Anolis sagrei: one gene and its partners. The protein of the gene in region 1 interacts with the protein of each later gene in a pairwise test. Links are inferred from orthologs where the notes say so. Each region holds a gene or a part of one and is shown on either strand. Other genes may lie near its edges. The genes, in order: EGFR, STAT2, STIP1 and CFL1.

Region 1 (7,267 bases):
GTGATACATAGATGTTTGATACTGGTTTCCCTTACTTTTTTCCCCCTCCTCCCTCTTTCACCCCTATTCTTCACTTCCTACTTTTGTTTTAAACCATGTTCACCTACTTTCAGTGTAATAGAAACCAGCTATTGCAGTCATGTCAATGACTTTTTATCTTTGATTAATGTGTGTGTTTATATGTATATGTATATAAATATTATTTATTTGCTACATTTATATACCGCCCCTCCCAGCCTGCAGGAGGCTCAGTGCAGTATGTGTATGTATATATATATATCTATATAAATAAAAATGAAATGTTCGTTTGTGGGATTAACAGAACTCAAAAACCACTGGATGAATTGACACCAAATTTGGACACAAGACATCTAACAACCCAATGTAGGTATGTCCGTCACTCAAAAAATGATTTTGTCATTTGGGAGTTGTAGTTGCTGGGATTTATAGTTCACCTACAATCAAAGAGCATTCTGAACCCCACCAATGATAGAAATGGGCCAAACCTCCCCCACAGAACCCCCATCAGGGCCCCAGCAGCACGTGGCAGGAACAGCTAGTATATATATATATATATATATATACACACACACACACACACACATACACACTAGCCATCCCCTGCCATGCGTTTCTGTGGCCCAGTCTGTGTATATGTGTTTTGTATGTGTGTATATATGTGTTTAAGTGTGTGTATATATTTGTATATATATGTGTGTGTTTGTATATATATGTGTGTGTGTGTGTGTGTGTGTTTATGTGTACATCCATATTGTGTGTATGTGTGTGCTTGTATGTGTATATGTGTGTGCATGTGTATATGTGTACATATAGTGTATTTTTTGAGTTTTTAAGTCTGTTCCACTGGGGTTTTGTGTGTGTGTGTGTTTAGGGGTGATGGACACTCGTTGGACTGTTAGGTGTACCGTGTCCAAATGTGGTGTCAATTTGACTAGTGGTTTTTGAGTTATGCTAACCCCACAAACGAACATTACATTTATATATATATATATGTGTGTGTGTGTGTGTGTCAAAATTTTGTCTATGTCCATGTCATTCACCAATAAAAATGGATTGCAAAAACCAAAAAAACTATGCATCGGTGATGTGCTGTTTGGAAAGATTTGAAATGCTATATTATTATACTACACTAGTGGCCCCCCTGCCACGCGTTGCTGTGGCCCAGTCTGTTGATCTGGAAAATAAAGTAATGAGAAAGTGTTGGTTTCTAATACATGTAGTTTCTTTATGCTTGTGGGTAAACAGTATTTCTTGCTGTTTCTTTGTTGATGTGTTGATGTAGAGATTGTCTAGTTTGCTACTCTGGAGCATGCAATTTATAAATGTCCTTCTTTAGGGGTCCCTTTCAAATCTATGATACTATATCTCTGTGTGAGTGAATCATATCTATCTATCTATCTATCTATCTATCTACATCTATGGCTAGATGACTCTATTTCCCCCAAACTCCACCAGTGTTCACATTTGGGCATATTGAGTATTTGTGTAGAGTTTGGTCCTGATCCATCATTGTTTGAGTCCACAGTGATCTCTGGATGTAGGTGAACTACAACTCCAAAACCACTGCCCACCAAACCCTTGCAGTATTTTCTGTTGGTCATGGGAGAACTGTGTGCCAAGTTTGGTTCAATTCCATTGTTGATGGGGTTCAGAATATTCTTTGATTGTAAGTGAACTATAAATCCCAACAACTACAACTCCCAAATGACAAAATCGGGTTTTTTTTGTTTTTTTTTAGTGATGATCACTCCTTTGGTTGTTAGGAGTATGCTGTCCAAATTTGGTGTCAATTCGTCCAGTGTTTTTTTGAGTTCTGTTAATCCCACAAACGAATATTACATTTTTATTTATATAGATTATTATTATTATTATTATCATCATCATGATGCCATGTAACCATTTCCTAGTACCTTTTTAACGGAATGACCACTCAGGGCCCTTCCAGACATTTTTATTTATATAGATGTCAACATTTTGTCTATGCCCATGTCATTCACCAATAAAAATGAATTGCAAAAACAAAAAAACTATGTGATGCGCTGTTTGGAAAGATCCGAAATGCTATATTATTATATGACATTCTGTATTACTTTGCAAGTTAAGTCTTGATGGGCTGGCTCCCCTTCTGGATTCTAACTGAGAAATCACTCCTTAGCATAACGAAATCAAATGCTACCCCTAATCATATTATATACGAGGGTTAAAACTACAAAACAAAACTATTGCACAACCTGGATGCAGGCATGGGCAAACTGTGGCCCTCCAGGTGTTTTGGACTTCAACTCCCACCATTCCTAACAGCCTCAGGCCCTTTCCTTTTCCCCCTCAGCCGCTTAAGCTTAAGCGGCTGAGGGGGAAAAGGAAGGGGCCTGAGGCTGTTAGGAATGGTGGGAGTTGAAGTCCAAAACACCTGGAGGGCCACAGTTTGCCCATGCCTGCCTGTCAGAAGGGCCATGCCTCTGAGTCGTCTCCCCGGCCTCTCTCTGCTCAAGCGCCCGCCCTTTCCCGGCCTCACTTTCCCCTCAGGCGCGCTTTCCTCACCTCGCTTCTCGTCCGCGGCGGCCAGAGCCAGGAGCAGGAGCGGGAGGGCCCCACAGGACAACCATAGCGAGCCCATCTCCGCCAAGTAGGAAGGAAAGAAGGAAGGAAGGAAGGAGGAAGGAAGGCGCTTGCCTCGCCTCAGCCGCGCTGCTCGCCCTGCCGAGGACTGTTGCAATGTGAGGATGACAACTCCAAGGGGGGAGGAGGGAGGGAGTGAGTGAGGAGGAGAGGAGCCCCCCGCTCCGCCTCTCGCCGGGTCCTCCTCCTTCTCTCTTCAACTCCCAGGAAAACTTTTCTCCTTTTGCGCGCGCGAGGCTGAGGGTCTCCCTCTGCTCTCCCTCTGGTCCGCCACTGGCCTCAATACCTGAGCCCGCCCAGGCGGGGCCTGCTGCTACCTGAAGGGACGGGCCAGAAATTCCAGTCAGGCAAGCTAGGCGAGGCTGAGGCGAGGCAAAGGCTGCTGAAGCGAGCAGCGCGCGCGCACTGCGCAGGCGCGTTCCCTCCCGCGCGCCTCCCGCGTGCAGCATTCGCTCCTTTAGGGTTGCTCGCCCGCCAAGTTTATTTACTTTCTGTTTTGTTCACTTGCAAGGAAGTCGTCTCTGGTTGCTTCTGGATCGAGAGAATCGGCCGTCTACGAAGACGTTGCCCAGGGGACGCCCGGATGTCTTGCAATCCTGCGAGGAGGCTTCTCTCAAGGACCAAGGCAGAGATATCTCCAGCTCATCCCTTGTTTGGGTATCAGCCAGCACATCAACGACTTATAGAATCATAGAATCAAAGAGTTGGAAGAGACCTCATGGGCCATCCAGTCCAACCCCCTGCCAAGAAGCAGGAATATTGCATTCAAATCACCCCTGACAGATGGACATCCAGCCTCTGCTTAAAAGCTTCCAAAGAAGGAGCCTCCACCACACTCCGGGGCAGAGAGTTCCACTGCTGAACAGCTCTCACAGTCAGGAAGTTCTTCCTAATGTTCAGATGGAATCTCCTCTCTTGTAGTTTGAAGCCATTGTTCCGCGTCCTAGTCTCCAAGGAAGCAGAAAACAAGCTTGCTCCCTCCTCCCTGTGGCTTCCTCTCACATATTTATACATGGCTATCATATCTCCTCTCAGCCTTCTCTTCTTCAGGCTAAACATGCCCAGTTCCCTAAGCCGTTCCTCATAGGGCTTGTTCTCCAGACCCTTGATCATTTTAGTCGCCCTCCTCTGGACACATTCCAGCTTGTCAATATCTCTCTTGAATTGTGGTGCCCAGAATTGGACACAATATTCCAGATGTGGTCTAACCAAAGCAGAATAGAGGGGTAGCATTACTTCCTTAGATCTAGACACTATGCTCCTATTGATGCAGGCCAAAATCCCTTAAATCAAGACATAGTTTTCTTAGATCTACAGAGACACTCACTGGAACACCCCAGCAAGCGAGAGTCCAAAAGTGGCAGGCCCAAACCCAGCACCTCAATTCATGGGTGATACCAGATGAGAGACTCCCCCCTGGGCACACAGAAGACTGGGCGACTTGGAAGGCGCTGAACAGACTGCGCTCTGGCACCACGAGATGCAGAGCCAACCTTCAGAAATGGGGCTACAGGGTGGAATCCTTGGCATGCGTGTGCGGAGAAGAACAAACCACTGACCACCTGCTGCAATGCACCCTGAGCCCTGCCACATGCACAATGGAGGACCTTCTTGCGGCAACCCCAGAGGCACTCCAAGTGGCCAGATACTGGTCAAAGGACATTTAACCAAATACCAAATTTGCAAAATCTGTGTGTTTTTTTTCCTTTTTCTTTTTAATCTGTGTGTTTGTTTTGCTCTGTTAGAATTGTAATACAATGGTTGCTGATGACACGATAAATCAGGGGTCCTCAAACTAAGGCCCGGGGGCCGAATGCGGCCCTCCAAGGTCATTTACCCGGCCCTCGCTTAGGGTCAACCTAAGTTTGTAACGACTTGAAAGCACAGAACAACAACAACAATCCTATCTCATCAGTCAAAAGCAGGCCCACACTTCCCATTAAAATACTAATAAATTTATATTTGTTAAAATTGTACTTCATTTTAATTATTGTATTGCATTTAAGTGTTTTTGCACTACAAATAAGATATGTGCAGTATGCATAGGAATTCATTCATGTTTTTTTTCAAATTATAATCCGGCCCTCCAACAGTTTGAGGGACTGTGACATGGCCCTCTGTTTAAAAAGTTTGTGGACCCCTGCCATAGGGATCCAGCTCCAAACAGTAGGGGTTTGGAATCCTCCCCCCTTTACACTTCTTACATGGAATATTGTGTCCAATTCTGGGCACCACAATTGAAAGGAGATATTGACAAGCTGGAATGTGTCCAGAGGAGGGCGACTAAAATGATCAAGGGTCTGGAGAACAAGCCCTTTGAGGAGTGGCTGGGCATGTTTAGCCTGAAGAAGAATCATAGAATCAAAGAGTTGGAGGAGACCTCATGGGCCATCCAGTCCAACCCCCTACCAAGAAACAGGAATATTGCATTCAAATCACCCCTGACAGATGGCCATCCAGCCTCTGTTTAAAAGTTTCCAAAGAAGGAGCCTCCACCACACTCCGGGGCAGAGAGTTCCACTGCTGAACAGCGCTCACACTCAGGAAGTTCTTCCTCATGTTCAGATGGAATCTCCTTTCTTGTAGTTTGAAGCCATTGTTCCGCGCCCTAGTCTCCGCGCCCTAGCAGAAAACAAGCTTGCTCCCTCCTCCCTGTGGCTTCCTCAGGGTAAAAGTATGATAGCTGGATCTGGAAGGCGGGGGGGGGGGAGCTTGCCCCCCCCCCCGAAATTCTCATGGTGGTCCGTGAGAAGGCCTTACTGGTGCATTATTTAAACTGTTACGTTTATTCATATCATGATCTGATCACCATACTCAATATATCCCATATGCATGGGGGTATTGGGGTAACAATACAAAAGGTTTGCTAGGGTAGACCCTCTTTCACTCAGACTCGCCCCCCCCAAATCAAACTTAGCCCCCCCCCCCCCCCAAATCAAAATCCTGGCTATGGGCCTGGTTACGCTGTTTTCGCTTTGCTCCTCAGGAGTGCTATTTGCACAACGCAGAATAATAATAATAATAATAATAATAATAATAATAATAATAATACTTTATTTGTACCCCGCTACCATCTCCCCTGTAAAGGTCCATTGGTTGTTTTGCTTGCTTGCTTGCATGCTGCAAGTCGCTTCTGGTTGCCTCTGGAGCGAGAGAATCGGCCGTCTACGAAGACATTGCCCAGGGGACGCCCGGATGTCTTACAATCCTGCGAGGAGGCTTCTCTCATGTCCCCTATCAACCAATGGCTGATACCAAATGAGAGACTCTCCCCTGGGCACACAGAAGACTGGGCGACTTGGAAGGCGCTGAACAGACTGCGCTCTGGCACCACGAGATGCAGAGCCAACCTTAAGAAATGGGGCTACAAAGTGGAATCCTCGACATGCGAGTGTGGAGAGGAGCAAACCACTGACCACCTGCTGCAACGCAACCTGAGCCCTGCCACATGCACAATGGAGGACCTTTTTGCAGCAACACCAGAAACACTCCAAGTGGCCAGATACTGGTCAAAGGACATTTAATCAACTACCAAACTCACAAATTTTGTATTTTGTCTGTTTGTTTGTTCTGTTAGAAATGTAATATAATTGACTGGTTGCCCTGACACGACAAATAAATAATTTAGGAAGGGGTATTTTGATTTCTCAGCCAGAGAGTTCCTCTAGTGCCTCACCGAACCACAAATTCTGGAAATCCCTAGAATGCAATTGTGGCAGTTAAAGGGGAATTGCAGAGCTATAATTCTACAGTCTGAGCACTCACAGTAAGAAAAAGAGTCTGAAAGGAGAATCAAAAGGGTCAATTTTCTTTAGAAAGCTTGAGCATTTTTTTTCAAAGCCACATCAGTAGCTGAAATTGAATCTATGACACAGATCAAGGTGTAGTAATGGTAGGACCAAAATGATCTGGGTCTTCGAGCAAATCTATGAGAAGGGTCACAATGCTGTGGTTTTTACGTTTATTTAAAAGAGCGTAAGGGGAACATGCAAGAGTGGCCTTTGAGCATACACAGTGTAGAGGAGGTAGACAGAGGTGCCTCCCTCTTTTACAGCATTTGAACTGAAGGTCTTTCAGTAACTCTGAATTGTGGGCACTTCTGGACAGACCAGATGAAATACTTAATTAATCAATGGCCATCCGCCCAAAAGGACTCAAAAGGGATTTGATGGTGAATAAGACTGTCTATGTATGGGGATGAAAGAATACTTCTAAATATTAAATTCTGGGAAATATGAATTTTCACTCTGTAGACCTCCCTAGGCTGAGCGAAGGAAGATAGATGTTTTTGAACTGTGGTGCTGAAGGAAAGTTCTGAGAGTGCCTTGGACAGCGAGAAGATCCAACCAGTCCATACTTCAAGAAATAAAGCCTGACTGTTCATTGGAGGGAAGGATAGTAGAGGCCAAGATGAAGTACTTTGGCCACATCATGTGAAGAAAGGAAAGCTTAGAGAAGACAATGATGCTGGGGAAAATTGAAGGAAAAAGGAAGAGGGGTCGACCAAGGGCAAAATGGATGGATGGTATCCTTGAAGTGACTGGATTGACCTTGAAGGAGCTGGGGGTGGTGACGACCGACAGGGAGCTCTGGTGTGGACTGGTCCATGAAGTCACGGAGAGTTGGA
Region 2 (7,666 bases), on another chromosome or scaffold:
GCTGCTCAGTTCTGCAGACAGAGTTGAAAAGAGTGGGAAAGGGTTTTTATGTGTATCAGGAGTGACTTGAGAAACTGCAAGTTGCTTAACCAATTCTTTGTGAGAGAATTGGTTAAGGGAGAAAGAGGCAGTGGATGGGATCATGCAAATTCCACACCAATGGAGAGAGTAAGAAACACTGGGATGTTTGCAGCGGAGGAAACATATAAAATCTAGGATGAAATTGTCCCTGTATGGAAGCATTCCTTGGATGGTGGGCCATAGTGTTTAGGAAGGGCATGGTACTCGCTATAACCTGAAATGTCATTGGACGGAGTGCTTTTGGTGGTTCCTCAACACTGTGGGTTATAGCTGTCTGTGGAAGCGGGAACCTGTGTGTGGAAGTGGGCACCCCAGCCACATACACGCATACATATTTTCACTTTTATCATGTGGATAGATAGATAGATGGATAGATAGATGGATGGACAGACAGACAGATAGAAAGAACACAGTTTTTGTTCCTTGGTTATAAATATTGTTTCCTAATTGGTTTTATCATAAAAACATGGGAAAAGTTTATTAAAACATTTGTTTTTGTGGGACATCTTGCAGCACATTTTGTTATAGCTTTTCCAGTTAATATTCTCATAGAGTCTTAACTCATTCAACCTAGTTTGTGGCTGCCACAAAAATGAAGTTTCTAGAGTATAACAACTACTTTCAAAGCAAGTACTGTACAATTAAACAAGAAATAACACTTTCAAACCAGGAACAGATGTTTTTTTCAAATTTTGTTACATAGTTTTATTGTTTCATTCTTATTTATAAGCAGGAAATGCTCAGACACATCTACGCTAGCCATTTAATGCTGCTTCAAACCAGTATTGAAAAAAATGGTTTTGCTGTATAGATCAGGCCTGGGCAAACTTCAGCCTTCCAGGTATTTTGGACTTCAATTTTTAGGAATTGTGGGAGTTGAAGTCCAAAACACCAGGTGGGCCGATGTTTTCCATACCTGGTGTAGATGATTACACAGAAAATCCTGAAACCAGATGGCGGCCAAGATGGTAATTACACAAATCACAGAGTAATGATGCATATTAAGAACTTTCTTTCACACACCATGTTGTATGGTTTCTGGGCTGTATGACCGTGTTTTAGCAGCATTTTCTCCTGATGTTTTGCCTACATCTGTGGTTGGCATCTTCAAAGGATCACACACTTTTGTAGGAGTTTATCTGGCTGCTAGAGTTTGAAGTTAGCTTTGAACTGCATTAAATGGGCTATGTAGATGTGACCTCAGTAACCCTCATTCATGGGAATTGCTAGATACTGGAAATATTATCATTTCTGGTTGCTTGAGAGTTACTATTAAAAATAAGCCTTACTAATGTTATGCCCATAATACACCACACCATAGATTCTGCATTGACTTGATATTAATATTGAAATACAGTAATTAAAAGCAAATTGAGTCCAATTAAAACAAATTTAATGTAACAGTTTTACTGTGTTACAAAAACAGCTTTGTGGATGCTGTATTCTTTTTCTATTCTTTTTTGCTCCTTAGTAGACTAGTGGTTGCTTCAGTTTCAGTTAACTGAGGCCCCTTCTACACAGCTGTATAAAATCCAAATTATCTGCTTTGAATTTGTAGTGTAAACTCAGATAACCCGGTTCAAATCAGATCATGTGGATTATCTGCCTTGATATTCTGGATTATCTGGCAGTGTAGAAGGGTTCCTGTGAGTTTTCTGGGCTGTATGGCCATGTTACAGAAGCCTTCTCTCCTGACATTTCACCCACATCTATGGCAGGCATCCTCAGAGGTTGTGAGGTGTGTTGGAAACTAGGAAAATCGGGTTTATATATCTTGGAATGTCCAGGGTGGGAGAAATAACTCCTGTCTGCAAGAGATACATGTGAATGTTGCAATTGGCCATCTTGATTAGCATTTAATAGCCTTGCAGCTTCAAAGCTTGACTGCTTCCTGCCTGGAGGCATCCTTTGTTGGGAGGTGTTAGCTGGCCCTGATTGTAGAAGGGCCCTGAGAGTCTACTGTATTTTGAAATTGGATAACAATTTTAGTAAGGAGACACTGCTGATTACATTTTTATGGCTTTGTACGGTTTTTATATTATATCTTAAATGCTTTAATTTTATAATTGTTTTAACTGTATCTTTACAATTGTTGAGGCACTGAATTGTTGCCAGCTGTGAACCGTCTTGAGTCACCTCCGGGCTGAGAAAGGTGGTATACAAATGTGGTAAATAAATAAATTTTATGGATGCTGTGTTTGGATTTCAACTCCCAGAAATCCCAGCCATCTTACTGGCTTTGCATCTCATTGCCTTCCAAGCTGCCCAGTCTTCTGTGTGCCCGGGGTGGAGTCTCTCATTCATGGCTTGAAGTTCTGGGTTTTTGCCTGCCACTCCTGGACTCTTGCTTGCTGAGGTGTTCCTGCGAGTATCTCTGATCTTAGAAAACTAATTCTTGATTTTGACTCAGATTATCCAGTTCAAAGCAGATCATGTGAATAATATGCCTTGGTATTCTGGATTATCTGGCAGTGGAGAAGGGCCCTGAGAGTCTACTGTATTTTGAAAGAGGCCCTGAAGTTGTCTCCAAAAGATTGAACTACAACTCCCAGGATTCCATTGATTGAGCCATGGCAGTTAAAACAGTATCTTTACCAGCTGTTTGGAATTCTGGGAGTTGAAGTCCAAAACATGTGGAGGGCCGAAGTTTGCTCATGTCTGATGCTTTAAGGGGTTGTTTGATCTTTCCTTGAGCTCCCTTAAGTTATGTAAGCATTCCTCCGAGATGTTTGCGACTTTGGATGATGCAAACACCTCATCCAGATCCCTATGTCTCACTCCAGTAGGAGCCAGCAGACCTCCCCGCCCACCCGCGCCAAGCCCACCTTGCGCGCGCACCCACCTGGACCGCTCTCTGCAGGGCCGGCGCGCTCCCTTCCTTCGAAGTCTATGGAGCGAAAACAGAAGCAGGAAAGCGAATGCCCCGCCCACTCTCCTCCCGATTGGTCAAGGCGCCGGAGCCCCGCCCAGGCGCGGAGGGAGTAGCGCCCGGGAAGGGAAGAGCCGGCTCTGGCGGCTGTAGATTTCGATTTCCCAGGAATGACGTCAGCGCCGTGGGCGGAGCCTGGCTTGACCCATGACTATTCAAATCCTGGGCAGGTTTGGAAAGGGTTGGCAGTGTTTATGCCCCGTTTAATGCAGTTTGAAGCTCTATTCTATGCTCAGTGTAGATTCCTGTACAGCATTTCAACTCCTTTTTTTTTGGAGTTTCCCTCCACAGTTTTCAAAACCCAAACTCTACTGGGTTGCTGTGAGTTATTCAGGGCTGTATGGCCATGTTCCAGAAGCATTCTCTCCTGACGTTTCGCCCACAGGCATCCTCAGAGGTTGGAAACTAGGCAAATGAGGTGTATATATCTGTGGAATAATGTCCAGAGTGGGAGAAAGAACTCTTGTTTGCTTGAGGCAAGTGTGAATGTTGAAATTGGCCACCTTGATTAGCATTGAAGGCCCTTGCAGCTTCAAAGCCTGGCTGATTGCTGCCTGGGGGTGATTTTGATGTCAAACATGAGATTTAAGGGGGGGGGGTCCTACTGAGGCAAGGCCCAGCCAGACCCACCAAAGAGGGCCCAAACACTTGGCGAGACAAGAATACCCAAATAGAATTTTTCACTATTTTTCCCAAATAAATCTCACTAAGTTGAAGAAGAAGCCACCGAGTTGTTTATTTCATTCCAGCTGGAGTGGATGTCAAACTGCAATCATTCACCAAAGTCGACATAACTCACAAGGGGAAATATTACAGTTTTTATGGGAAATACAGAGCTGTCAAATTCAAATTTCTCACTCCCACCCCCCTTGCTGGCTTCTCACTGATTGGCTGGAGTCATCAGCTGGCTGGGAGGTGTGGCTGGCTTAGCTGCGCCTTGTCCAATCATAGAGCCAGCGCCGCTTCGGCCTCTTGGCCAATGGGAAGAGAGGAGGCAGGCCAGGTGGGAAACAATGAATGAAGAGGAAAGGTGATAAGATTAAAATTATTAACGATTGTCTAAGCGGTCAGTGATTGCCTTCTTTAGCCCTCAAGCTGGCCAGGCTATTGTTTTGATGCTCTGGAAGATACATTTTCATCTGGCTCAGAGACCAGATCTTTTGTTGTCCTTCCATCCGGGATAAGAGTCCATTGATGGGATTTATGACTGGTATCAGCCAGCTGGGTCCTCACAATGAAAAAGAGGCAGTGGGGAGCCTGGATCCTCCACAGATAGGACAGCACCCTTTGTGTTGGTGGATCAAGATGGTCTTATCTCCAGATGGACTAGCCTTTTGCCCTCTGAGATCTGGTTGATAAGAACCATTTGTTTTATTGTCCATGCAAATGGGTTTTGATCGAGTCCTTTGTGTTGGAACAAACCGGCCCAGGATTTTGAGAAATGCTTCCTGGAGCCATGGGGTGCTGGATTCTTGAAAAGGGTGGCTCTCTTCTATTTTTGAAAAATATAGACATATACACACATATAATGGTATGGGAAGGGAACATACAAGGAGTTTATGGGGGATAAATCACATAAAGGCAAATAGAAATCATGTCAGCCCTCCCTCCAAAATCCATCAAAAGTTCACAAAGAGAGGTTAAGATAATAAGAATTCATAGGGGCTTTGGCCAGAGAGTTCCTAAAAAGTTCTAAAGTTCTTCAAAAGTTAATAAAAGTTCTAAAAAGTCCATGAAAGTTGAGAGAACTTCATAGGGAGCCTTGGAAAGTTCATAAAAGTCCATGGGGAGCATATTGGAATCACTGTGAGCGCTGAGAGCTGGAATCCATTCTTTGATGAGAAGAAAACTACGAATCCAATTTTGTCTAAGGACCAGGATGGCCTGTCAGGAATACGGGGGTCCCAAGGGGTGACCACAGCAGGTTCTTTGGGTTTGGTCAGCTTCTGGACACATGTGAGATGGAGGCACAGACGTTGTTGTAACATGGAGCCATAGATCAGAACCAACTGGTCTCCACGTCTGGTTTTGAGGTGAAAATGAATATTCCCAGGGCGCAGGGGTCCATAATGCAAAAAGCGAGATAGCAATTAGTCTTAGAACTAGTCTAGGAAGAAATTGGCACCGGTTTGGAATGGATCCGTTGACCCACATATATGGGGGCCCAATAGATTTCCGTATCGGCAGTTCAGAGGAACGCAGTTTCAGCCTCCCCGGGACGCTGTAAGAGCACCCTGGGTGAGCCAGCAGTAATCAGAGGCTCAGGAAGGAAAAGGTTAATGTTAGATAGTGTTAGAAGCAGTAAAGAGACACAATGTATCACTATGGAGAGGAAAAATTGCAATCAAAAGATACTTTTATTTGGGGATTTGTTACAATGTTAGGGGAAGGGGGGAAAGAAAGCAGAAAAATGACTCAGTTGGAGCTGCTGCTGTGGCCACAGTCCCCACGATACTGGCTCACCTGGATGTCCTGGAACTGTGGAACTCCCTGCTGCAGTTCAAATCAGCTTGAACGCAGGGGCCTGTGCATTTGTCAGTCTCAATTTCAGTTCTATCTTTTAAAAAACCCAATAAAAATCAGACTTCAACGTTGAGAAGTATAAGCCAAAAGCAGACTTCTCTTTCTGTAAACTAATATGTTTTGTATTACTTCCCTTTTAAAGCCAAAAATCCCATAACAGGGCCTGCTGCAAATGCCCATCCTTGATCTAAATCTTAGGCCTCAAAGCAACAATGGTGAAGTTATATATCAATTAAATTTAAAAAGAATTCAGTTAGGATCAAACTGTGTGCAAAATAATCCCAGTCACTATGCACAGTGGCCCCACTCAGCTATCCCAGCACTTAGTTGTAATCTGATAGCTGCTTTGCACGCACTCAGTCCTCAGTAGGCTATTTCTGAGACATTCAATTCTACCCACAAATACACTCCTTTAGACATTTTTCACTCTTGTCTTTGCACTTCTGTAAACCTCTTCAGTAGAGATGGCACTCCTTGCCACAACCAAGGCACTTACGTCCTGTTACTGGAGAGTTACTGCTTTTTATCTATTTGCTTAAAGTGATGGCGAAAACAGAGACTCCTGCCTTCAAATTGATCTGACCGCAGCAGGGAGTTCCACAGTTCCTGAGAGTATGAGTTCTCAGGTATCTGCAGGACAGTGTCACCAGCAACAGCTTCAACAAAGAACTCTCTCTCTCCCCCTCTGTTAACCTACCTTAGCCTCTTTGTAACAATTCCCCAATAAAAAGTATCATTTTCTCCAACCTTTCCCTCTATGAAGTAATACATTGTCTCCTTTACTGACTCTAGCTTTGCTCCAACCATGAACTTTCCCGCTCCCAAGCCGCAGAACTCCGTTGGCTCAGCTGGGATGCTCCAGCAGTGTCCCAGGGAGCCCAGAACTGCGTTCCTTTAAACTGCGGATATGGGGGCCCACATGGTCTTGGTATCCGTGGGTTAACCGATCCACTCCAAATCGGCGCCATCTTCCTCCCTGATGAATTATAATACTAATTACCATCTTACTTTCTGCTGAATGGACCCTTGGACCCCCAGATCCATTCTTCTTGCCCAAACCCCCCATGTGGGAACCTAAGACTTTTTCCGTGGTGCCATTGTCTCACATGGCAATGATGTTCGTGTACCCTTTTCTTTCTTGTGCATGTAGCCTTGACATGGTGCCCCATGGTGCCTGCTGACCCTGGAAAGCCCCTTGTGTGTCACCCTGTGACCCTGGCCAGCATCAGGCCAATTTGGCTGTTTTTATTAATTGGACTCCTTTTTTATGAACTTCTGTTTTATTAATGGACTTTGGCTGCTCAGCGCTTGTATGGACAATGTACCATCTTGAATGGCTCTGGGTGGCCAAGGCGGATCTTCCCTTGACCCTACAGGTTCCCCCTTTCCATATGAACTCTGTATATGCCCCATATTCCCATTTATGATATGTATGTATGTCTATATAAAATATTAAGCAAGATGACCTCTTCATAAAGTGTGCCCAGCACCTCAGGATCCAGGTGTTGCAATACTTCCTGGGTCATCATTCCTAAACAATGGACTCTGCAGAAACTCATCAGCATGGACAATAAGTAAATAGCCCCTTTTCCTTGGGCTTTGGAGGGTCTCTTTGACCAGACTACCTAAGGTATGGGGCTCATGGACATGGTAATCACTTGACACAAAAAACATTTCCCCAACCAAGAGGAAAAGGAGTTATTGCCAGATTTCCCACAAAGCCATCCCCCCATTCCAAGAAAAGGATCCAAGATCTTATTGAAAAAGTTAATATTGTTGGACCTTATGACAATTGGCTGGCTCTTCGGGGCCAGACTAGGATGTTGTTTCAGACTTTTGTCAATAGTCAGGATCAGGACTGGAGGGCTGAAAGCCATCTTTCCTGATCACTTATCATCAAGGTCCAGGGAGGACCATTCATAATCCAATCACTTAACCATTTCTTCATTGTTTCCCCTGCTGCCTGCCTCCTTCTCACTTATCAGCTGAGCGGCCAATGCGGGGCTCGTGCTCTGATTGGAGGAGCCGCATCCTTCCCTGGCTGCTCCTCCTGGATCACTGACATTGCGACTAATCACAGTGGAGTTGGCTCGGGGGAGGCGGGGGGAAGGCATGGAAAATCTGAATCTGACA
Region 3 (7,276 bases), on another chromosome or scaffold:
GTTTAGCCTGAAGAAGAGAAGGCTGAGAGGAGATATGATAGCCATGTATAAATATGTGAGAGGAAGCCACAGGGAGGAGGGAGCAAGCTTGTTTTCTGCTTCCTTGGAGACTAGGATGCAGAACAATGGCTTCAAACTACAAGAGAGGAGATTTCATCTGAACATGAGGAAGAACTTCCTGACTGTGAGAGCCGTTCAGCAGTGGAACTCTCTGCCCCGGAGTGTGGTGGATGCTCCTTCTTTGGAAGCTTTTAAGCAGAGGCTGGAGGGCCATCTGTTGGGGGTGCTTTGAATGCAATATTCCTGCTTCTTGGCAGAGGGTTGGACTGGATGGCCCATGAGGTCTCTTCCATCTCTTTGATTCTATGATTCTATCTGTGTGTGAATCATATCTATCTATCTATCTATCTCTATCTATGGCTGGATGGCTCTTTATCAGGAGGACTTTGATTATGTTTTCTTTCCCTGATGAAGGGAGTTGGATTGGATATCCTTAAGTATTTTCTGTGGGTCATGGGGGTTCTGTGTGGAAAGTTTGCCCCAATTCTGTTGTTTGTGAGGTTCAGAATGCTCTTTGATTGTAGGTGAACTGTGAATCCCAGTGACTACAACTCCCAAATGTCAAAATCTATTTCCCCCAAACTCCATCTGTGTTTATATTTGGGCATATTGAGTATTCGTGCCAAGTTTGGTCCAGGTCCATCATTGTCCACACTAGATGTAGGTGAAGTACAACTCCAAAACTCAAGGCCAATGCCCACCAAACCCTTCTAGTGTTTTCTGTTGGTCAAGGGAGTCCTGTGTGCCAAGTTTGGTTCAATTCCACCATTGGTGAAGTTCAGAGTGCTCTTTGATTATAGGTGAACTATAAATCCCAGAAAGTACAACTCCCAAATGACAAAGTCATAGTGTTTTGAGTGATGGTCACTCCTTGTGTTGTGAGACGTTTTGTTGCCAAATTTGGTGTGATTTCATTCATTGGTTCTTTTGTTTTTAAGGAACTTATTAGGCACAAAGCATTGTTATATATAGATATAGATAGATAGATAGATAGATATAGATATAGATAGAAGATATAGATATATAGAAGATACATTATTACATTATATTACATTATAATATTCTCAGTAGAATCAGAGTTGGAAGAGAACCCCATATAGATAGATATAGATAGAAGATATTGATATATAGATATAGATAGATAGTAGATAGATAGATAGAAGATTGTATTACATTATAATATTATCAGTAGAATCAGAGTTGGAAGAGAACCCCATAGAGATAGATAGATATAGATAGAAGATATAGATAGATAGATAGATGGAAGATAAAAGATTGTATTACATTATAATATTATCAGTAGAATCAGAGTTGGAAGAGAACCGCATAGAGATAGATATAGATATAGATAGATAGATAGATAGATAGAAGATAGATAGAAGATAGTATTACATTATAAGAGTTGGAAGAGAACCCCATTTAGATAGATAGATACAGATAGAAGATAGATAGAAGATTGTATTACATTATAATATTATCAGTAGAATCAGAGTTGGAAGAGAACCGCATAGAGATAGATATAGATAGATAGATAGATGATAGATAGATAGATAGAAGATAGTATTACATTATAAGAGTTGGAAGAGAACCCCATTTAGATAGATAGATATAGATAGAAGATAGATAGATAGAAGATTGTATTACATTATAATATTATCAGTAGAATCAGAGTTGGAAGAGAACCCCATATAGATATAGATATAGATAGATATATAGATATAGATAGATATATAGATAGATAGATAGAAGATAGATAGAAGATAGTATTACATTATAAAAGTTGGAAGAGAACCCCATATAGAAAGATATAGATAGAAGATAGATAGATAGAAGATTGTATTACATTATAATATTATCAGTAGAATCAGAGTTGGAAGAGAACCCCATATACATAGACAGATATAGATAGAAGATATAGATATATAGATATAGATAGATAGATAGATATAGATAGATAGAAGATTGTATTACATTATGATATTATCAGTAGAATCAGAGTTGGAAGAGAACCCCATATAGATATATAGATATAGATAGATAGATATAGATAGAAGATAGATAGATAGAAGATTGTATTACATTATAATATTATCAGTAGAATCAGAGTTGGAAAAGAACCCCATATAGATAGATAGATATAGATAGATTGATAGAAGATAGATAGAAGATAGCATTACATTATAAGAGTTGGAAGATAACCCCATTTAGATAGATAGATAGATATAGATAGAAGATAGATAGATAGAAGATAGTATTACATTATAATATTATCAGTAGAATCAGAGTTGGAAGAGAACCCCATATAGATAGAAGATATAGATAGCAGAGAGCAGATATAGATATATATAGATATAGATAGAAGATTGTATTACATTATAATATAATCAGTAGAATCAGAGTTGGAAGAGAACCCCAAAGGGCCATCTAGTCCATCCCCCCTTTTGCAAGGCAGGAAGACACCACCCAAGCCCTCCCGACAGATGGCCATCCAGCCTCCGAGTCAAAACCTCCAGAGGAGGAGACTCCATGTTTTGCATTGAAGTGGATTATTATTATTATTTCATATTCAAAGATCCTCTCAACTCTGGAGGCCCTGCTTTTGACCCCCTTTCTCTCCACCAAGAGGAATCCCCCCTTGAAATCTGACATTCACACGTTCTGTGAAGCTCCCCTCCCAGGCCCACGCTTCCCTTTCCCGCCATGCCTTGCGCGAACCCACTTCCGTTAAGGGGACCCCCTCCGAGCCCCTCCCCCACCCCACGCGGCCTTCCCGAGATCCTTTGCGTCCCCCTCAGGCCCCCTTTCCCCCCTCCACCCGGCTTCCCCGCCACACCAAGCTAGGCCCGACCTTCTCCATCGCGCCGGCCGGACTTCCTCGCTGCCACTTCCCTCACTGAGTCGAGCCGCCTGCTTCTCTTCCCACCCCGCCTTCTGGAACCTGCTAGAACCCTCTAGCCCCGCCCCTCGACGCTCATTGGCTCTTTCCCTTTAACTTGGACACGCCCCTTCTATACACCCAAACGGATTCTATTCCTGTCCGTCTTCCGAAATCCCGCCTTCCTCCTCGGCTCCGCCCACAATTGGCGAGCTAAAATGCGATTGGGTAAATGAGCGGGAAGGGGCGGGACTGAAGACCTGTCCGTCTTCCGAAATCCTGCCTTCCTCCTTGGCTCCGCCCACAATCGGGAGCTAAAACGCCATTGGATCGCTGAGCGTGAAGGGGCGGGGCTGAAGACCTGTCCGTCACTCTTCCTGTCCGTCTTCCAAAATCCTGCCTTCCTCCTCGGCTCCGCCCACAATCGGGGAGCTAAAATGCGATTGGGCCACTGAGCGTGACGCGTCGTGAAGGGGCGGAGCTAAAGACCTCTCCGTCTCCCTTCCTGCCCATCTTCCGAAATCCTGCCTTCCTCCTCGGCTCCGCCCACAATCGGGGAGCTAAAATGCGATTGGGCCACTCAGCGTGAAGGGGCGGAGCTAAAGACCTGTCCGTCTCCCTTCCTGCCCGTCTTCCGAAATCCTGCCTTCCTCCTCGGCTCCGCCCACAATCGGGGAGCTAAAATGCGATTGGGCCACTCAGCGTGAAGGGGCGGAGCTAAGGACCTGTCCGTCTCTCTTCCTCTCCGTCTTCCGAAATTCTGCCTTCCTCCTTGGCTCCGCCCACAATATGGAAGCTAAAATGTGATTGGGCCGCTGAGAGTGACGAAACGTGAAGGGGCGGAGCTAAAGACCTGTCCGTCTTTCTACCTGTCCGTCTTTCGAAATCCTGCCTTCCTCCTCGGCTCCGCCCACAATATGGGAGCTAAAACGCGATTGGGTCACTGAGAGTGAAGGGGCGGAGCTAAAGACCTGTCCGTCTCTCTACCTGTCCGTCTTTCGAAATCCTGCCTTCCTCCTCGGCTCCGCCCACAATCGGGGAGCTAAAATGCGATTGGGCCACTGAGCGTGACGGATCGTGAAGGGGCGGAGCTAAAGACCTATCCGCCTCTCTTCCTGTCCGTCTTCCGAAATCCCGCCTTCCTCCTCGGCTCCGCCCACAATATGGGAGCTAAAACGCGATTGGGTCACTGAGAGTGAAGGGGCGGGGCGTACAAAAAGTAAGGCGGATTTCTCTGCCTTTCCAAGATCCCGCCTCCAGCGTTTCATTGGCCAGCTATAGTGTATTCTAATTGGACGGGAAAGGTGGAGACGTCAGCGGGAGGTGCTCCCATTGGCTGAATTTCCTCCTCATTGTTGTCATTAGCTTGCCGCATTTTTCCAGCAAAGACTTTACTGAATGGGAGAGGGAGAATTATAGAATCCTAGAGTTGGAAGAGACCTCATGGGCCATCCAGTCCAACCCCATTTTGCCAAGAAGCAGGAATATTGCATTCAAATCACCCCTGACAGATGGTCATCCAGCCTCTGTTTAGAAGCTTCCAAAGAAGGAGCCTCCACCACACTCCGGGGCAGAGAGTTCCACTGCTGAACGGCTCTCACGGTCAGGAAACTCTTAAATGATAGAATCCTAGAGTTGGAAGAGACCTCATGGGCCATCCAGTCCAACCCCATTCTGCCAAGAAGCAGGAATATTGCATTCAAATCACCCCTGACAGATGGCCATCCAGCCTCTGTTCAAAAGCTTCCAAAGAAGGAGCCTCCACCACACTCCGGGGCAGAGAGTTCCACTGCTGAACACCTCTCACAGTCATCCAGTCCAACCCCATTCTGCCAAGAAGCAGGAATAATGCATTCAAAGAAGGCTGAGAGGAGATATGATAGCCATGTATAAATACGTGAGAGGAAGTCACAGGGAGGAGGAGGGAGCAAGCTTGTTTTCTGCTTCCTTGGAGACTAGGACGCGGAACAATGGCTTCAAACTACAAGAGAGGAGATTTCATCTGAACATGAGGAAGAACTTCCTGACTGTGAGAGCCGTTCAGCAGTGGAACTCTCTGCCCCGGAGTGTGGTGGAGGCTCCTTCTTTGGAAGCTTTTAAGCAGAGGCTGGATGGCCATTTGTCAGGGGTGATTTGAATGCAATATTCCTGCTTCTTGGCAGAATGGGGTTGGACTGAATGGCCCATGAGGTCTCTTCCAACTCTATGATTCTATGATTCTATGAAAGCACCCCTGACAGATGGCCATCCAGCCTCTGTTTCAAAGCTTCCAAAGAAGGAGCCTCCACCACACTCTGGGGCAGAGAGTTCAACTGCTGAACGGCTCTCACAGTCATGGGCCATCCAGTCCAACCCCATTCTGCCAAGAAGCAGGAATATTGCATTTAAAGCTCCCGTGACAGATGGCCATCCAGCCTCTGTTTAAAAACCTCCAAAGAAGGAGCCTCCACCACACTCTGGGGCAGAGAGTTCCACTGCTGAACGGCTCTCACAGTCAGGAAGTTCTTCCTCATGTTCAGATGGAATCTCCTCTCTTGTAGTTTGAAGCCATTGTTCCATTGCGTCCTAGTCTCCAAGGAAGCAGAAAACAAGCTTGCTCCCTCCTCCCTGTGACTTCCTCTCAAATATTTATTTATTACTAGCCGTTTCCTGCCACGCATTGCTGTGGCCCAGTTTGATGATCTGGAAAATAAAATAATGAGAAAGTGTTGGTTTCTAATATATGTAATTTCTTTCTGCTTGTGGGTAAACAGTATTTCTTGCTGTTTCTTTGTCAGTGTTGATGTGGAGAGTGTCTGGATTGCCCACCCTGGAACATACAACATATCATTGTCCTTCTTTAAGGATCCCTTTCAAATCTATGATACTATATCTCTGTGTGTGTGAATCATATACATCTATCTATATCTCTACCTGGATGGCTCTTTGTCAGGAGGGCTTTGATTATGTTTTCTTGCCCTGATGAAGGGAGTTGGACTGGATGGCCTTAAGTATTTTCTGTTGGTCATGGGGGTTCTGCATGGGAAGTTTGCCCCAATTCTGTCATTGGCGGGGTTCAGAATGCTCTTTAATTGTAGGTGAACTATAAATCCCAGTACAGCCCTCAGTGGCACAGTGGGTTAAAGCACTGAGCTGCTGAGCTTGTTGATCGAAAGGTCACAGGTTCGATTCCGGGGAGCAGCGTGAGCTTCCGCTGTCAGCCCTAGCTTCAGCCAACCTAGCAGTTCGAAAACATGCAAAATGTGAGTAGATCAATAGGTACCGCTCCTGCTGGAAGGTAACGGCACTCCACGCAGTCATGCCAGCCACATGACCTTGGAGGTGTCTACAGACAACGCCGGCTCTTCGGCTTCGAAATGGAGATGAGCACCACCCCCAGAGTCAGACATGACTGGACTTAATGTCAGGGGACAACCTTTACCTTTACTAACTACAACTCCCAAATGTATAAATGTATAAATATGTGAGAGGAAGCCACAGGGAAGAGGGAGCAAGCTTGTTTTCTGCTTCCTTGGAGACTAGGACGCGGAACAATGGCTTCAAACTACAAGAGAGGAGATTCCATCTGAACATTAGGAAGAACTTCCTGACTGTGAGAGCCGTTCAGCAGTGGAACTCTCTGCCCCGGAGTGTGGTGGAGGCTCCTTCTTTGGAAGCTTTTAAGCAGAGGCTGGATGGCCATCTGTCAGGGGTGATTTGAATGCAATATTCCTGCTTCTTGGCAGGGGGTTGGACTGGATGGCCCATGAGGTCTCTTCCAACTGTTTGATTCTATGATTCTATGTCAAGGTCTATTTCCCCCAAACTCCATCTGTGTTCATATTTGGGCATATGGAATATTCGTGGCAAGTTTGGTCCATACGGAATGTTGGTGGACAGGAAAAGAGATTGAAAGATGGGCTCAAAGCCAACCTTTAAAACTCTGGCATCAACACTGAGAACTGGGAAGCCCTGGCCCTTGAGTGCTCCAGCTGGAGGTCAGCTGTGACCAGCAGTGCTGCAGAATTTGAAGAGGCACGAATGGAGGGCGAAAGAGAGAAACGTACCAGGAGGAAGGCGTGTCAAGCCAACCCCAACCGAGACAGCCTTCCACCTGGAAACCAATGACCTCACTGTGGGGGAAGATGCAGGTCAAGAAAAGGGCTCCACAGCCACCTACGGATCCACAAGAATACTAATCATGGAAGACTATCCTACTCGTCCAATGAGGCATCCCCTAAGTAAGTAACAGGAGAAAAAAAATCCCAAATTCCACTTGGGTCAAGGCCCAAGTGGAATATTTGGCTTTTTGGCTTGGATATGAAACTGTAGGACAGGCAGTCATCAGCCATAAGAACGCTG
Region 4 (7,706 bases), on another chromosome or scaffold:
CAAGCATGCTCAGAGGTAGAGACCTCGCTGTCAGGCCATTGTATGCTAATCAAGGTGGTCAGTTGAAACATTCACACCTAGTTCCAGCAGACAAGAGTCCTTTGTCTCACCCTGGTCATTCCACAGATATATAAACCATTTTTTAAAACTCCAACAGACCTCACTATCTCTGAGGATGCTTGCCACAGATGCAGGCAAAATGTCAGGAGAGAATGCCTCTAGACAATGGCCATACAACCCGAAAAAACCTACAACAACCCAGTGATTTCGGCCATGAAAGCCTTCCGACAATAGGATTGTTGTTGTTGTGTGCTTTCAAGCAATTTCAGACTTAGATTGACCTGAGTGAGGGCCGGGTATCATAGAATCATATAGTTGAATCATAGAATCATATAGTTGGAAGAGACCTCGTGGGCCATCCAGTCCAACCCCCTACTAAGAAGCAGGAATATTGCATTCAAAGCGGTCCCGACAGATGGCCATCCAGCCTCTGTTTAAAAGTTTCCAAAGAAGGTGACTTTAGAGGGCCATATCTGCCCCCCCCCCCCCGGGCCTTAGTTTGAGAGGGTTTTTTTGAAATATTGGTACCCTCCCACCACAGGATTCCCTAAGGCAGGAAGCAGCCAGGCTTTGAAGCTGCAAGGCTATTCAATGCTAATCAAGCTGACCCATGGCCCTGATCGTTTCCTGACTGGAAATCCTCAGTTTTGTTTTATTTTTGGTGTTATTCTTTTGTTAATGACGTTGTTTTAATACAAGATGCCTAATTTTGTTCGTTTTTATCATTTCCTCCTTTCTGTTGACACTTGTCCACATGGAGATTAATGGCTTCTCTTTGTAGTCTGGTTGTCAAGAGTTGTCCAGTGTTTCCTGTCTAAGGTGGGAGAAAGAACTCTTGTCTGTTGGAGGTGGGTGTGAATGTTCCAATTGGCTGCCTTGATTAGCATTTAATGGCCTAGCAGTTTGGAAGATCTGGCTTCTTACTATCCCAACAAAGGATTCCCCCAGGCAGTAAAAGCCAGACCTTTAACACTGCTAGGCCATTAAATGCTAATCAAGGTGGCTAACTGGAACATATAGTTTTCTTGGCAAGGATACTGGGGTGGTTTGCCATTGCCTTCCCCAGGGATCACGCTTGGTCTGACCTCTCTGCCATGACCGTCCCGTCTTGGGTGGCCCTTCACGGTTTCGCTCATGACATCATTGAGGTGCTCAAGCTCCAGCGCCACGACACGGCTGGGGGTGGTGACGGCCGACAGGGAGCTCTGGCGTGGGCTGGTCCATGAGGTCACGAAGAGTCGGAGACGACTGGACGAATGAACAACAACTGGAACATTCACACCTACCTCAAACAGACAAGAGTTCTTTCTCCAGATGTTAAACAATCGGGGCCAGCTAACACCTCCAAAACAGAGGATTCCCCTTGGCAGGAAGCAGACAGGCTTTTGAGCTGCAAGGCTATCAAGCTGGCCAATTACAAGATTCACACTTGCCTCAAGCAGCCAGGCTTTTGAGCTACAAGGCTGTCAAATGGTAATCAAGCTGGCCACACTTGCCTCCAGCAGACAAGAGTTCTTTCTCGCACCCTGGACATTATTCCACAGATATATCAACCCCACTTGCCTAGCTTCCAACAGACCCCACAACCTCCGAGGCCATGAAAGCCTTCGACAATAGGATTGTTGTTGTTGTGTGCTTTCAAGCCATTTCAGACTTAGATTCACCCTGAGTGAGGGCCGGGTATCACAGAATCATATAGTTGAATCATGGAATCCTAGAGTTGGAAGAGACCTCGTGGGCCATCCAGTCCAACCCCATTCTGCCAAGAAGCAGGAATATTGCATTCAAAGCGGCCCCGACAGATGGCCATCCAGCCTCTGTTTAAAAGCTTCCAAAGAAGGTGACTTTAGAGGGCCATATCTGGCCCCCGGGCCTTAGTTTGAGAGGGTTTTTTTGAAATACTGGTACCCTCCCACCACAGGATTCCCTAAGGCAGGAAGCAGCCAGGCTTGGAAGCTGCAAGGCTATTCAATGCTAATCAAGCTGACCAAGGATCGTTTCCTGTCTGAAAATCTGCTGTTTTGTTTTTGGTGTTATTCTTTTGTTAATGAAGTTGCCAAATTTTGCTCATTTCCATCATTTCCTCCTTTCTGTTGACACTGTCCACATGGAGATTAATGGCTTTTCTTTGTTGTCAAGAGTGGCCCAGCATTTCCAGATATATGGAACCTCACCTGCCTAGTTTCCAACAGACCCCACAACCTCAGAGGATGCCTGCCATAGACGTGGGCGAAACGTCAGGAGAGAGTGCTTCTGGAGCAACCCAAGAGGGACTGGGCTTCAGCAGGAACCCTCACAGGCCCAGAAGAGGGGAAGCAAAGCTTCTCAATGGCAGGTTTCCAACAGGCCCCACAACCTCAGAGGATGCCTCCCATAGACGTGGGCGAAATGTCAGAAGAGAGTGCTTCTGGAGCAACTCAAGAGGGGCTGGGCTTCAGCAGGGACCCTCACAGGCCCAGAAGAGGGGGAGCAAAGCTTCTCAATGGCAGGTTTCCAACAGACCCCACAACCTCAGAGGATGCCTGCCATAGACGTGGGCGAAATGTCAGAAGAGAGTGCTTCTAGAGCAACTCAAGAGGGGCTGGGCTTCAGCAGGGACCCTTATAGGCCCAGAAGAGGGGGAGCGTGGCTTCTCAGTGGCGGGGGCGTGAGGGGGCGCCAAAGGCGGCCTTCCCGAGGCTCCATCCCCCACGAGTCCCCCACAAAATGGCGGCCGGGTGACAAGATGGCGGCCGGGCGGCGAGGCAGGGGGGCGGCGAGGAGGAGCCGCAAGCCTTACCATGGCGCTGGAAGTCAAGCAGGCTGGGCGAGGAACTGTCGGCGGGTGCTGGAGGCTGCTCTGGGCCTTGGGGGTGGCTCCGGCGGCGAAGGGGGCTCCTGCGTCTTCCTCGGCGGCGGCTCCGAGCCCGTCTGCGCGTCAAGCGAGGCCCGAAAAGGAACTGCTGCCCCGCCCGGCTCCGCGCTTCCGCTTTAAGGCGCCTCGCCGAGGAGGAGCCGCTTCCGACTTGCGGCGCGGGGCATCACGGGAAAGCGAGTCCTCCCTCGCCCGCCTCCTTTCCCCTGCTGGTGCCAGGCCGGCATCTCAGGCAGAGGTTGCCATGGAGACGGAAGGGCGGGGGGAAAAAGAGTCTCTCTCTCTCTCTCCCCCAAAAGCAGGCCTGCCTCTTCAGCCAGGTTTTGAGGCCTGCCTTGAGTTATGGTAGAGGCCATTCCCTACCATACTATGTATGGATTGTAATAATAATATCATCATTGTATTGTCGAAGGCTTTCATGGCTGGAATTACTCAGTTCTTTTGGGTTTTTTCGGGCTATAGGGCCATGTTCTGTATAGGAAGGATCTGTATATATATTATATATATACAATATACAGAAGATCTGTATAGGAAGGATAATAATATCGAGGATAGTTTTGACGGTGTGGTGAATGAATTAGAACCAGACATCCTGAGGAGTGAGGTGGAATGGGCCTTAAGAAGCATTGCTAACAAGGCAGCAGGAGACGACGGGATCCCAGCTGAACTGTTTAAAATCTTAAAAGAGGATGCTGTCAAGGTGATGCATGCCATATGCCAGCAAATATGGAAAACACAAGAATGGCCATCAGACTGGAAAAAATCAACTTATATCCCCATACCAAAAAAGGGAAATGCGAAAGACTGCTCAAACTTCCGTACAGTGGCCCTTATTTCTCATGCCAGTAAGGGAATGCTCAAGATCCTGCAAGGAAGAAGACTCCAGCAAGACATGGAGCGAGAGTTGCCAGATGTTCAAGCTGGGTTTAGAAAAGGCAGAGGAACCAGAGACCAGATGCCAATATCCAGATGCTGGAGAATGGAGAAAGGCAGGGAGTTTCAGAAAAACATCTATTTCTGCTAAAGCCTTTGACTGTGTGGATCATCATAAATTGTGGCAAGTTCTTGGTGGGATGGGCATCCCAAGCCCCCTTCCCTCTCTCCTGAGGAATCTGTACAAGGACCAAGGAGCAACAGTCAGAACTGACCACGGAACAACAGACTGGTTCAAGATTGGGAAAGGCGTCCGGCAAGGCTGCATCCTCTCACCCAACCTTTTTAACTTGTATGCAGAACACATCATGCGAGGATGTGCAGGGCTGGATGAATGCAAAGCTGGGGTGAAAATTGCTGGAAGAAACATTAACAACCTCGGATATGCAGATGACACCACTCTGATGGCCGAAAGCGAGGAGGAGCTGAGGAGCCTTCTAATCAAGGTGAAAGAAGAAAGCGCAAAAGCCGGGTTGCAGCTAATCATCAAAAGAACCAAGATTATGGCCACAAGAATGATTGACAACTGGGAAATAGAGGGAGAAAACGTGGAGGCCGTGACAGACTTTGTATTTCTAGGTGCAAAGATGACTGCAGATGCAGACTGTGGCCAGGATATCAGGAGACACTTACTTCTTGGGAGGAGAGCAATGGTCTTCCCTGTAGTCACCTACGGATGTGAGAGCTGGACCTTAGGGAAGGCTGAGCGAAGGAAGATCGATGCTTTTGAGCTGTGGTGTTGGAGGAAAGTGCTGAGAGTGCCTTGGACTGCGAGAAGATCCAACCAGTCCATCCTCCAGGAAATAAAGCCCGACTGCTCACTGGAGGGAAGGAGACTAGAGACAAAGTTGAAGTACTTTGGCCACATCATGAGGAGACAGGAAAGCCTAGAGAAGACAATTATGCTGGGGAAAGTGGAAGGCAAAAGGAAGAGGGGCCGACCAAGGGCAAGATGGATGGATGGCATCCTTGAAGTGACTGGACTGACCTTGAAGGAGTTGGGGGTGGTGACGGCCGACAGGGAGCTCTGGCGTGGGCTGGTCCATGAGGTCACGAAGAGTCAGAGATGACTGAACGTATGAACAACAACAAACCACTACTCGATGGATTGTCATCACCATGTTCCAATGAACCTGCGGGCATAACCACCGGAGTCATGTTACATCCCAGGAGAGGCCACAGCAACATCTATTATAGAACTCCAATATGCCGATGACAACGTAGTCTATGCCTGATGGAATCGTTCCAGGAGTTGCATGCGACATCTGTAGACTGTCCACGTTTCGCAGGCATACAGTAGGGTTGGGAGGACAATATATAATAGAAGACAATAGACAATAGAAGCAGAGAGTGTTTGAGGACCGGGACATCCGTAGGGCGACCAAGGTGCTTGTTTATAAAGCTATTGTCCTCACTTCATTGCTGGTGGTATTTCATTCTTCCAGCATGCTGACATTTGCCTGCTTGTCTTCCCAAGAGATTTACAGCGCTGATGTGATGTCTGTAGACTGTCCACGTTTCACAGGCATACAGCAGGGTTGGGAGGACAATAGCTTTGTAAACAAGACCCTTGGTATCCCTACGGATGTCCCGGTCCTCAAACACTCTCTGCTTCATTCGGAAAAATGCTGTACTTGCAGAGCTCAGGCGGTGGTGTATTTCAGTGTCATTGAACATCGAGAAAACCAAAGTGCTCTTCCAGCAGTCACCAGCCAATCCCTCTCCAATGCCAGAGATACGGCTTCATGGTGTAACATTAGAAAATGTTGACCATTTCCGCTCCCTTGGCAGCCACCTCTCCACCAAAGTCAACATTGACACCGAAATACAACACCGCCTGAGCTCTGTGAGTGCAGCATTTTTCCGAATGAAGCAGAGAGTGTTTGAGGACCGGGACATCCATAGGGGGACCAAGGTGCTTGCTTATAAAGCTATTGTCCTCACTTCAGTGCTGGCGGTCTTTCTTTCTTCCAGCGCGCTGACATTTGTCTGCTTGTCTTCCCAAGAGAGTTGCAGGATTTTCCGGAGGCAGCGCTGATGGAATCATTCCAGGAGTTGCATGTGACATCTGTAGACAGTCCACGTTTCGCAGGCAAACAGCAGGGTTGGGAGGACAATAGCTTTATAAACAAGCACCTTGGTAACTTCAGCAGACTGAAAGCCAAAAGCAAGGTCACAACAAGTTATAGGACTCCAATATGCCGATGATAACATAGTCTATGCGCATTCAGAAGAAAACCTACAGGCCACTCTACAACATCTGTCATAGAACTCCAGTATGCTGATGACAATGTAGGCTGTGTGCATTCAGAAGACCTACAAGCCACTCTAAACACTTTTGCAGGAGCATACGAGAAGCTCGGCCTGTCACTGAACATCGAGAAAACCAAAGTGCTCTTCCAGAAGTCACCAGCCAATCCCTCTGCAATGCCAAAAAGATTGCAGGTGAACTATACATCCCAGTACCTACACTTATAAATCATGGTGAATGCTCCCCAAACCTCTGTAGTGTCTTCAGTTGCTGATCAGTTCCTCTGTATGCTGTGTGCCATAGAAAAGAATAGGAAAGGGTTAAGGGAGAGGCAATGGGCGGGGTCGTACAAATTCCACACCAATGGAGAGAGTAAGAAACACTGGGATGTCTGTGGTGGAGGAAACACATGAAATCTAGGATGGAATTGTCCCCACATGAAAGCCTTTACTTGGTTGGTGAGCAGTATTGTGTTTGTGGAGGACATTGGCAGGGCTCTTGGATATGTTTATGGTGTTCTCTATAACTGCAATATCATTGGGAGGAGGGCCATTGGTGTCTCCTGAGTAGTGGGAGCTATAGCTGTTTGTGGAAGTGGGAGCTTGTCTGTGCAAGTGGACACCCCAGCCACACATATTTTAACTTTTTATTATGTGTTGATAGATGGTTTGGGTTGCTGTGAGTTTTCTGTGCTGTATGGCCATGTTCCAGAAGCATTCTCTCCTGACGTTTTGCCCACATCTCTGGCAGGCATCCTCAGAGGTGAATATAAGGTTTGCCTGGAAATGGGAAGAGATTGATTATAATTCCAACGAAATTTCCTTCGTCTTGCAAAGAGATCAGACTGATCTGGGTCTCTATCTGGCCATAAAATGTCACTTTGTCTGGCTCCGACTATGCAAAACCTTTGCAAAAGGTTATGTGTGTTTGTGATGGAAATCAGGACTCCGACCATCAAATAACTTGGCAGCATTACAATGAGCAACATTAGCCTCCCACCGAAGGCACACACACAAAAAAGTGCATTTGTTTAGTGGTTTTTCTTCTATTTGATTGGGAAGAAGAAAATCTGGGGAAAACGTTGCCTTTAGAAATAGAACGCGCCAGGGATTCTCTCTCTCTCTGCATAAAAGAACCAGAGTGTGACAGAATAGGCTTTAATACATGTATATGTCCATTTTAGGCAATTTTGGAGGAATAGGCTTTAAGAAAGAGGGGGAGAGCGTTATTGTTCCTTTGTGGAGTACTGCCTTAATCCTGCCTTGTTTAGTGGCATAAACCATCACCCACCTGCTTTAACTAGAGCTGAATACTAATAATAATAATAATAATAAATTATATTATATTAATAATAATAATAATAATAATAATAATAATAAATTCAGCCATCAGAGTGATTTTGTTTGCTGTGGACTCATCTTGTTGTGTTTCAAATAATAATAATAATCTTTATTGCCCTGCATAGCAAGAAGCGGATCCCTCCATCCATCCATCCATCCATCCATCTATCTATCTATCTATTATGTATGTTTATTTGTACCTCAAAGGTTCCTCTCTGTGGCTTGATAGATCTGGACCGAACTTGGCACACAATGTCTTCATTTTTCA

Evidence for each region.
Region 2: the proteins of EGFR (region 1) and STAT2 interact in a protein complementation assay, tested with the Homo sapiens proteins (3 studies listed by BioGRID and IntAct, with this or other methods). The link is inferred for Anolis sagrei from reciprocal best matches to the Homo sapiens genes EGFR and STAT2.
Region 3: the proteins of EGFR (region 1) and STIP1 interact in binary tests that used the Homo sapiens proteins (3 or more experiments, as listed by UniProt). The link is inferred for Anolis sagrei from reciprocal best matches to the Homo sapiens genes EGFR and STIP1.
Region 4: the proteins of EGFR (region 1) and CFL1 interact in binary tests that used the Homo sapiens proteins (3 or more experiments, as listed by UniProt). The link is inferred for Anolis sagrei from reciprocal best matches to the Homo sapiens genes EGFR and CFL1.

What each region holds. Positions count from the first base shown.
Region 1 is NC_090026.1:66,070,508-66,077,774, reverse strand, and holds the start of EGFR (epidermal growth factor receptor), read right to left. Parts: upstream 3,010-7,267; 5' UTR 2,639-3,009; coding exon 2,563-2,638; intron 1-2,562. UniProt on the Homo sapiens protein: Receptor tyrosine kinase binding ligands of the EGF family and activating several signaling cascades to convert extracellular cues into appropriate cellular responses.
Region 2 is NC_090022.1:138,706,599-138,714,264, forward strand, and holds the start of STAT2 (signal transducer and activator of transcription 2), read right to left. Parts: upstream 3,022-7,666; 5' UTR 2,924-3,021; intron 1-2,923. UniProt on the Homo sapiens protein: Signal transducer and activator of transcription that mediates signaling by type I interferons (IFN-alpha and IFN-beta).
Region 3 is NC_090032.1:15,948,072-15,955,347, reverse strand, and holds the start of STIP1 (stress-induced-phosphoprotein 1), read right to left. Parts: upstream 3,023-7,276; 5' UTR 2,918-3,022; coding exon 2,909-2,917; intron 1-2,908. UniProt on the Homo sapiens protein: Acts as a co-chaperone for HSP90AA1. Mediates the association of the molecular chaperones HSPA8/HSC70 and HSP90.
Region 4 is NC_090032.1:9,213,813-9,221,518, forward strand, and holds the start of CFL1 (cofilin-1), read right to left. Parts: upstream 3,022-7,706; 5' UTR 2,843-3,021; coding exon 2,840-2,842; intron 1-2,839.